2 linked regions of the Cricetulus griseus genome follow. The protein of the gene in region 2 interacts with the protein of the main gene of each other region in a pairwise test. Links are inferred from orthologs where the notes say so. Each region holds a gene or a part of one and is shown on either strand. Other genes may lie near its edges.

Region 1 (4,337 bases), on a different chromosome or scaffold from region 2:
ATTCTGCAGGTCCAGGTACTCAGTGCCGGCGGAGAAGCCCAAGAGGAAATCCAGGAAGGGCTCATGCTGATGTATCACGGCCAAGTGCAGGGCCCTGGGGACAGAGGCAGAGGTCAGTAAACACGAGTGTCTACTGTATGCTGCAAACTGTAGCCATAACTGGAAACACTTCAGTGTCCCGGAGAGCCAGGGACAGGAGCGAATCCAGCAACTTCCTTTGTCTGCCTGATTGGTGTTCTGAGATAAGACAAGGGTCTTCATAAACTACCCAGGCTGATCGGGAGTTCAAGTTCTTCCTGCTTCGGCCTCCCGAGTAGCTGGGCTGACAAGCCTGTGACAGCAGGTCCAGCTACCAACTTTGTCTTACCAGTGTTTATTTTAAAGAATTTAGCTACCTGTAGTAGCTCAAATTCCAGCACCTGGGGAAGGTGAGGCAGAAGGATTGTTACTTCAAGGCCAGACTGGGCTACATGGTAAGTTCTAGACTAGCAGGGCCAAATACTAAATAGTGCAATTCTGTCACAAAAAAAACAAAGCCGGGTGTTGGTGGCACACGCCTTTAATCCCAGCACTCGGGAGGCAGAGGCAGGCGGATCTCTCTGAGTTCGAGGCCAGCCTGGTCTCCAGAGCGAGTGCCAGGATAGGCTCCAACGCTACACAGAGAAACCCTGTCTCGAAAAAACAAAACAAACAAACAAACAAACAAAAAAACCAAAAAACAAAACAAAAGCAAAAACAAAACCAAAAATGGTGGCTTGTGTGAAAGAGGCAGAAGCTGGTGGATCCCTGTGAATTCCAGGCTAGTCTAGTCTGCATGGTAAATTCTAGGTCAGCCAGGACTACATTGTGAAACCTTGTTTCAAATAATAACAACAACGTGTAGAACAATTGAGGTAGACAGTGAACACCAATCACTGGCCTCCAAACACAAGCATACTTACATACACAAAGACAAACAAACTGGGTATGAGAGCCCTAGCCCCAGCTTCTAATTTTAGTACTTCCCAAGCTAAGGCAGGAGGATCACAAGTGTAAGGCTACACAGTGAAGGCCTGACTCAAAAAACAAAATACAAAAAAAGTGGAAAACTAGGGCAGGGGCTGGGATGTGGGTTGGGGGTGCACCTGCCTAACATGTGCAAGACCTCAGGCTTAACTGGCAGCAACACACACACACACACACTATGGCTCCAATAACAAACCTTCAAATTACATAAAGCAGCCAGGTGTTGGTGGTACATGCCTTTAATCCAACACCGGGGAGGAGAGTTCCAGGCCAGCCTGGTCTACAGAGAGAGGCTCCAGGACAGGCTCCAAAGCAATACAGAGAAAATCTGTCTCGAAAAAAGCTAAGGTTCTCCGGCCAGCTAACCTAGCCGATGTGTTGAGTACTGGACCAGTGAAAGACTGTCTCAAAACAAAACAACCCAAGGTTATCCTCTAGTCTACACACACACCCTGGCTGAGTATAATGATGCATACTTTAGAGGAGGATGAAAAATTGAAGGCTATCCTCAGCTAAACAGCAAGCTCAAGGCCATCATGGGCTACATGAGACTGCCCGACCCCCCCAAAAAAGGAAGGAGGAGAAAGAAAATTACAAAATTCAAATCTAAAAGTAATCAGAATAAAATAATAAAGGAACAAGGACCAATAACATAGAAAGTGAAAAATAAGAAAATTAAGGAAATTACACCTGGTTCTTTAAGAGTGCTTATTATGTTCCCTTCATGGGTCAGGCACTGAGTCATTGGGCACACGCAAAAAGCACAAAGGACAAAAAATCCCGGGTACAATCCCTTGCATAGCCCTTCACCACAGCTGCCCTTCTCCCCAGTCAAATTTTACAATTATTTTTCAATCTCCCTCTCCTTTTTCCCCTCTTTTTCTTTTCTTTTCTTTCCTCTCTCTCTCTCTCTCTCTCTCTCTCTCTCTCTCTCTCTCTCTCTCTCTCTCTCTCTCTCTCTCTCTCTCTTGTTGCTGTTGTCGTCTTGTTTTTTGAGACAAGGTTTCCCTGTGTAACTAACTACCTTGGCTGTCCTGGGACTCACTCTGTAGACCACGCTGGTCTTGCACTCACAGAGATCCGCCTGCCTCTGCCTCTGCAGTGCTGGGATTAAGGGCGTGCGCCACCACGGCCGGGCATCACTTCAATTTCTTAATTGCAAATCAATGCTGGAAGTGTCAAGAGTCGTAGACTCAGGGCCAAGGACTAATTTTGGGAATCAAAATCTGGCTTATACAAGAGTAGCTACGGATCAAAAGCCACATTTGGAAGCAAGAGGTCAGAATTCGTGGGAAAGGTCTGGGGGGACCGGGTTGGAAAGGTTCAGATGCGGTATGGGGACCCATGGTAAGGATGCGGATTCCAGGAGCACAAATTTACAGTTCCAAGAAAGGCGAGACGCTTGACCGTGGGTGAAACCAGACTCACAACTTAGGATTGGGGGTGGGGGGAGTTATGTATGGGTCAGGAAGGCTCGTATCGGAAGTCAGGGGTAGGAACCAGAAGGTAGTAAGTAAGTCACAGAATCACAAGCCGATGGAGGCTCAGGTAGGATCCCGGGGCTCCGTTTGGTAGGTAATTTAAGGTTTACTCACGTGTCCCCATCCTCAGTGACGTAGCCAAAGACCAGGGGCGCCCACGACAACTCCGGGCCCAGCTCTGCGCCCAGCCCTGGTCCTCCGGGAGCCGCCGCGTCGGGACCCAGGGAGCCTAGGCCGCTGTCGCACCATTCGTCGACGTCCGCGCTTTTCCCCAAGCACGCGACCCCGGCCATGGCCCAGCCACCTCGGTGGCCCCCTGTGGTCGCCCGCCCGACGCTGGGCTCTGCGGTGAGCTCCAGCGCTTCCGCCCTGCCGGGAATTCCCCAACACGCCCCCTCATCTACCCAATAAAAACAAGCTAAATGGCTACGCTCCGCCCCCGTGCGTCGCCAGAACCAATCAGGATAATGAGATGCACGCCGGCTCTCTGAGTTTCCCCACTTTTTCCAGACGCCCTTTATCAATATGGCTTCAGGCACCAGGCCTTTTGGGATTTGTAGTTCTATGCCACGAGCGGCTCGTCGCGCGAAAGGGTTTGCTGAGGACGGCGTGGGCTGCCGGGAGTTGTAGTCCTCTGGCCTATCTCGGTCCCCTCTTGCTTCCGGTGCCGTCACGGGACAGAGCAGTCGGTGACAGCTCCGAGGGCCCCCACCCCGCTCCCATGGCCGAGCCGGATCGTGAGTCGGGGGCCCAGGTGGGAGGGTCGGGCCGCGCCGGGGCCTGGCTTTGGGCTGCAGGCCCCGGGGCCCGAGGACAGGCTCGGTGGGGTGGGAGGAAGGGGCTGCACGAAGGGAGTGGGATTTGGAGGGCCGTTGCTAAGTGGTCGGTGTTGCTAGGTTGGTGGGATTCTGGGTTGTGAGATTTCTTGAAGGGTCCGTTTGCCAAGTTCTTAATGATCGCGTTTCTCGCACCTTGGTTGCTGAGAACCCTCGTTGCTAAGGACCAAAGTTGCTACGATCCCGGTTGCTAAGGTTATCTGGTGTTAGGGGCAACTGTAGGATGTTCGGGAACCCCTGCTGCCCCTTTCCATCTCATTCCTTCAGTTCCTGTGTCTCTCCTAAACCTCCTGCCTCCACTCCATCTCCTCTCCCACACTCAACTCCAGCCGAGGTATCCCCATTTCCATCTCTTGAAAAACTTCGCCCTCCCTCTCTCTCCTGGCTGGCACTCACACTACCGCGTCCTGCCTGACTCTGAAGTCTTCCTTCAGTCCTGTCGCACCTGCTTTCTCCTCCTAAACCTCCCCCTCAGCCTTTCCACCTCACACATGTGTCTTCCACTCTAAAATATGCCTGTCCCCGTCTCCGACAGTTTTACTACCGTCCCTGACTCCAGGATAACTAGGTTAGTGGGTTCTCTCGTTGCCTCCACCACTGTGAATCCTTCATCCCTTTAACTGCCCCCCCCACTGTAACCACGTCTGCTCCCCCTCCTCCCCAGCCTCTGACCCTGTGGAGACCCAGGCAGGGAAGGTGCAGGAGGCTCAGGTGAGATGGGGAAACGGGTTGGAGGGAAGGAGAGAGATGGACTTGGTTCCACATTCCACACTGGGGGGAGGTGGCAAGGGGAGGCTTTTACCCAAGGGTCCTTGGCTTATGGGTTCTGGTCCCTAATTCCATCTGGGGATTAGTACAGCCTCCTGGGGAATGGTGGCTTCTGGGGACTGTCAAGGAAAAATGCCCAATATGGTTCCCCTTCCATATTGTCTTCTTACTGTTACCCACCCTTTCCTCAGCCCTTTCTGAACCTCATTTGTGCTGGGCCTGGAAGAGATGGTTTTCTAGTTTGATC
Region 2 (3,559 bases):
CCACCTCCCTCAAGTCAGGCTCCACCTCCCTCAAGTCAGGCTCCACCTCCCTAATTCAGGCTCCACCTCCCTCAAGTCAGGCTCCACCTCCCTCAAGTCAGGTTCACCTCCCTCAAGTCAGGCTCCACCTCCCTCAAGTCAGGCTCCACCTCCCTCAAGTCAGGCTCCACCCCTCTCAAGTCAAGCTCCACCTCCCTCAAGTCAGGCTCCACCTCCCTCAAATCAGGCTCCACCTCCCTCAAGTCAGGCTCCACCTCCCTCAAGTCAGGCTCCACCTCCCTCAAGTCAGGCTCCACCTCCCTCAAGTCAGGCTCCACCTCCCTCAAGTCAGGCTCCACCTCCCTCAAGTCAGGCTCCACCTCCCTCAAGTCAGGCTCCACCTCCCTCAAGTCAGACTCCACCTCCCTCAAGTCAGACTCCACCTCCCTCAAGTCAGGCTCCACCTCCCTCAAGTCAGGCTCCACCTCCCTCAAGTCAGGCTCCACCTCCCTCAAGTCAGGCTCCACCTCCCTCAAGTCAGGCTCCACCTCCCTCAAGTCAGGCTCACCTCCCTCAAGTCAGGCTCACCTCCTGTCAGGCTCACAGTGGGGATGCCTGGCTCCAGCCCACAGGCCTCTGCTTACCCTGTGTCTGGGATGTAACCTTTGAGGATGTGAGAGAGAGCGAGAGCTCCCCTCCCAGAGGCTCACATCATTCTGACAGTTTTTCACGTGGATTTCGGAGGGCTTGTAGAATCCCTGACGCCCATTACAGGTATCAGGTGAAGCGAGGCCCTGGTTCTGGAAGGGATGTCCAGCTCATATTTAGCTTCCCAGAGTGCTCAGGTCTTGGCTTCATGGCCTGCTTGGTCATTCTCAGTGTTTTCCCTGACTCTGATGCTGTTCACGATTCTTCTCGAAGCCGTCCCTCCGAAGCAGGAACACCATCTTCACCCTGGGCACCCGTGGTGCGGTCATCTCCCCCACCGAACTGGAGGCCCCCATCCTGGTGCCCCATACTGCCCAGCGTGGGGAGCAGAGGGTATGAGGAGGCCCCCTCCGTGGCTGGGGATCAATTCGCCTGCTGCGCTGTGGGGACAGGAGCCATGGGCTTAGGGTGCAGAGGGAGACTGGTCGTGGGGTGGCTGTCATGAGGCAGCAGCTGGAGTGGATGTGGGGATGGCCGCAGCCAGTGGGGTGGGCTTTCCTTGTGTCCTGTGCGCCCCCAGGGTGCCCCTCCCTTCCTGGAGGTGAGGTATGTGTGGGGTCTTCCGAGCTCTGGTTCCTGGGATACACTGAGCCCCCGTATCTGCGGGGTCAGTGTTGGATCCACCCCTCTCTCTGTCCCGTAGTATCCGTTTGAAGCTCTCTTCCGCAGCCAGCACTACGCGCTCCTTGACAATTCCTGCCGGGAGTATCTTTTCATCTGTGAATTTTTTGTTGTGTCTGGCCCAGCTGCACATGACCTGTTCCATGCTGTCATGGGCCGCACGCTCGCCATGACTCTGGTAAGTCCCCGATTCTGTGCTTTTACTCTCCCTTCCCAGGGCTCCTCCACGTCCAGTGGGGTCACAGTGGCAGTATTGAATGCAGGATGTCCCGTTCTACGTTGTCCAAGCCTTTATCTCACAACATGGCCCCCTAGGAAACCCTCAGAACTCGGGGGACCTGCTGCTTCCTCTGTTTCCACAAGCAGAGAGCAAGACCTCTAAATCGCGATCCTTTACCTCCATCCCAGGCTCAGCCCTGGCTTCAACTGTGAGGAGCTTACAGAGTTGAGGCCAGTGAGTAAGTCAGGGCCCCTGGACAAGGAAGGAGGTGTCTCCCTAGCCAGCGCCTTGTCCCCAGAAGTGCACATCCATTTGCTCATAGCCACTGGAACTTCAAACTAGCATTCAGTTGTCTGCCTGCTGTGCCGCAGAAACACCTGGAGTCCTACCTGGCCGACTGCTATGACGCCATTGCTGTTTTTCTCTGTATCCACATTGTCCTCCGATTCCGCAGCATTGCATCGAAGAGGGATGTCCCTGCTCTGGACAGGTCACTGAGCTCTGGTCCTGGTGCCTGCTGGGTCCAGCTTTTTATCTCACACCGACAACTCCACCCTGCCCCTGGCTCCTCCTCACCCGATGTCCTTCACCCTTATCCTGTGTGTGTCCCCAAGGCAGCATCCCTGTCACACACACACACACACACACACACACACACACACACACACACACACACATCCGTGCATACAGACACGGACACACAGGCACACACACACCCGCTCACATTCCCCTGAAGGGTGCTGTGCCCCCATGGCCTGCCAGCACCCGTAGCCTGCTGACCTTTGGTTCTGACTGACCCTGCAGGTACTGGGAGCAGGTGTTGGCCTTGCTGTGGCCTCGGTTTGAGCTGATCCTGGAGATGAACGTCCAGAGTGTCCGCACCACCGACCCCCAGCGCCTCGGAGGACTGGACACGCGGCCCCACTATGTGAGGGCGGGGGAGGATAACAAGGGGTCTCGGGGTCACACGCAGCGGTGGGCTGGCCACTGCAGGAGGAGGGACTGGGGACAGGAGCTGCAGAGGCTGCTGGGAGGTTATGTCGGCCTGGCAGGCTGATGGGCGTCTCCCCTCCTTGGTCCTAGATCACGCGCCGCTATGCCGAGTTCTCGTCTGCCCTTGTCAGCATCAACCAGACCATCCCCAATGAGCGCACCCTGCAGCTGCTGGGGCAGCTCCAGGTGGGCCGGGCGGGGCGGGCAGGCTTCCCAGCATGGGGAGGGGCCCTGGGACCTGTGTCTCTGACTTGCTCTCTGTTTGGCTTTTGCAGGTGGAGGTGGAGAACTTTGTCCTCCGAGTGGCTGCGGAGTTCTCCTCCAGGAAGGAGCAGCTCGTGTTTCTGATCAACAACTACGACATGATGCTGGGTGTGCTGATGGTAATGCTGCCCTCCCCCACGGGGCGTGCCCATGCTCGTCAGCCTCACCAAGGGGGCTTTAGCCCTGGATTCTGGCAGTGTCTGCGGTGTGGTGTGCGATTACAGGAGGTGCTGGGCTGAAGGCTGTTCCCAAGTTCCTCACTCTTTGTCTTCCTTAGGAGCGGGCTGCTGACGACAGCAAAGAGGTGGAGAGTTTCCAGCAGCTGCTCAATGCGCGGACACAGGTAGGGCCTGGGCTTGGCAGGGAGACCTCAGTGTGCAGTCATGGTGACAACTCACTGCCTGCTGCTAGTCTGTCTCATTTAATTTATCAATAAATTAATAACTTAAAAGCAAAAAACTATAACGGTGTATGTATGTGTGTATATAAGTATGTATGTATGTGTGTGTTTACACCTGCTTTGCAGGGCATTATTTGTGTGTGTGTGTGTGTGTGTGTGTGTGTGTGTGTGTGTGTGTGTGTACGTATATGTGAGCGCACTCCCAGGCACATGTTGTGAAACACATGGAGGTCATAGGACAATGTCAGGACTGGGTTCCTTTCTTGCTTCTTCCACTTTGTGTTCTGGGGACCAAGCACTTCTCCCCTCCTCCCCAAGGCCGGCTGCTCTGTGGAGTGTCCCCTCCTAGTCCTCCCAGTCCATGTTGGGGTCCT

The links.
Region 1: the proteins of Vps52 (region 2) and Nfkbib interact in binary tests that used the Homo sapiens proteins (3 or more experiments, as listed by UniProt). The two-hybrid records come from large-scale screens. The link is inferred for Cricetulus griseus from reciprocal best matches to the Homo sapiens genes VPS52 and NFKBIB.

What each region holds. Positions count from the first base shown.
Region 1 is NC_048602.1:7,103,831-7,108,167, reverse strand, and holds the start of Nfkbib (NF-kappa-B inhibitor beta), read right to left. Parts: upstream 2,859-4,337; 5' UTR 2,780-2,858; coding exon 2,601-2,779; intron 95-2,600; coding exon 1-94. Other genes in the region: Sirt2 (NAD-dependent protein deacetylase sirtuin-2), read left to right, coding at 3,208-3,223, 3,987-4,033. UniProt on the Homo sapiens protein: Inhibits NF-kappa-B by complexing with and trapping it in the cytoplasm.
Region 2 is NW_023276806.1:232,050,631-232,054,189, reverse strand, and holds part of Vps52 (vacuolar protein sorting-associated protein 52 homolog), read left to right. Parts: intron 1-886; coding exon 887-1,020; intron 1,021-1,330; coding exon 1,331-1,486; intron 1,487-1,899; coding exon 1,900-2,018; intron 2,019-2,332; coding exon 2,333-2,456; intron 2,457-2,611; coding exon 2,612-2,707; intron 2,708-2,796; coding exon 2,797-2,904; intron 2,905-3,062; coding exon 3,063-3,128; intron 3,129-3,559. UniProt on the Homo sapiens protein: Acts as a component of the GARP complex that is involved in retrograde transport from early and late endosomes to the trans-Golgi network (TGN).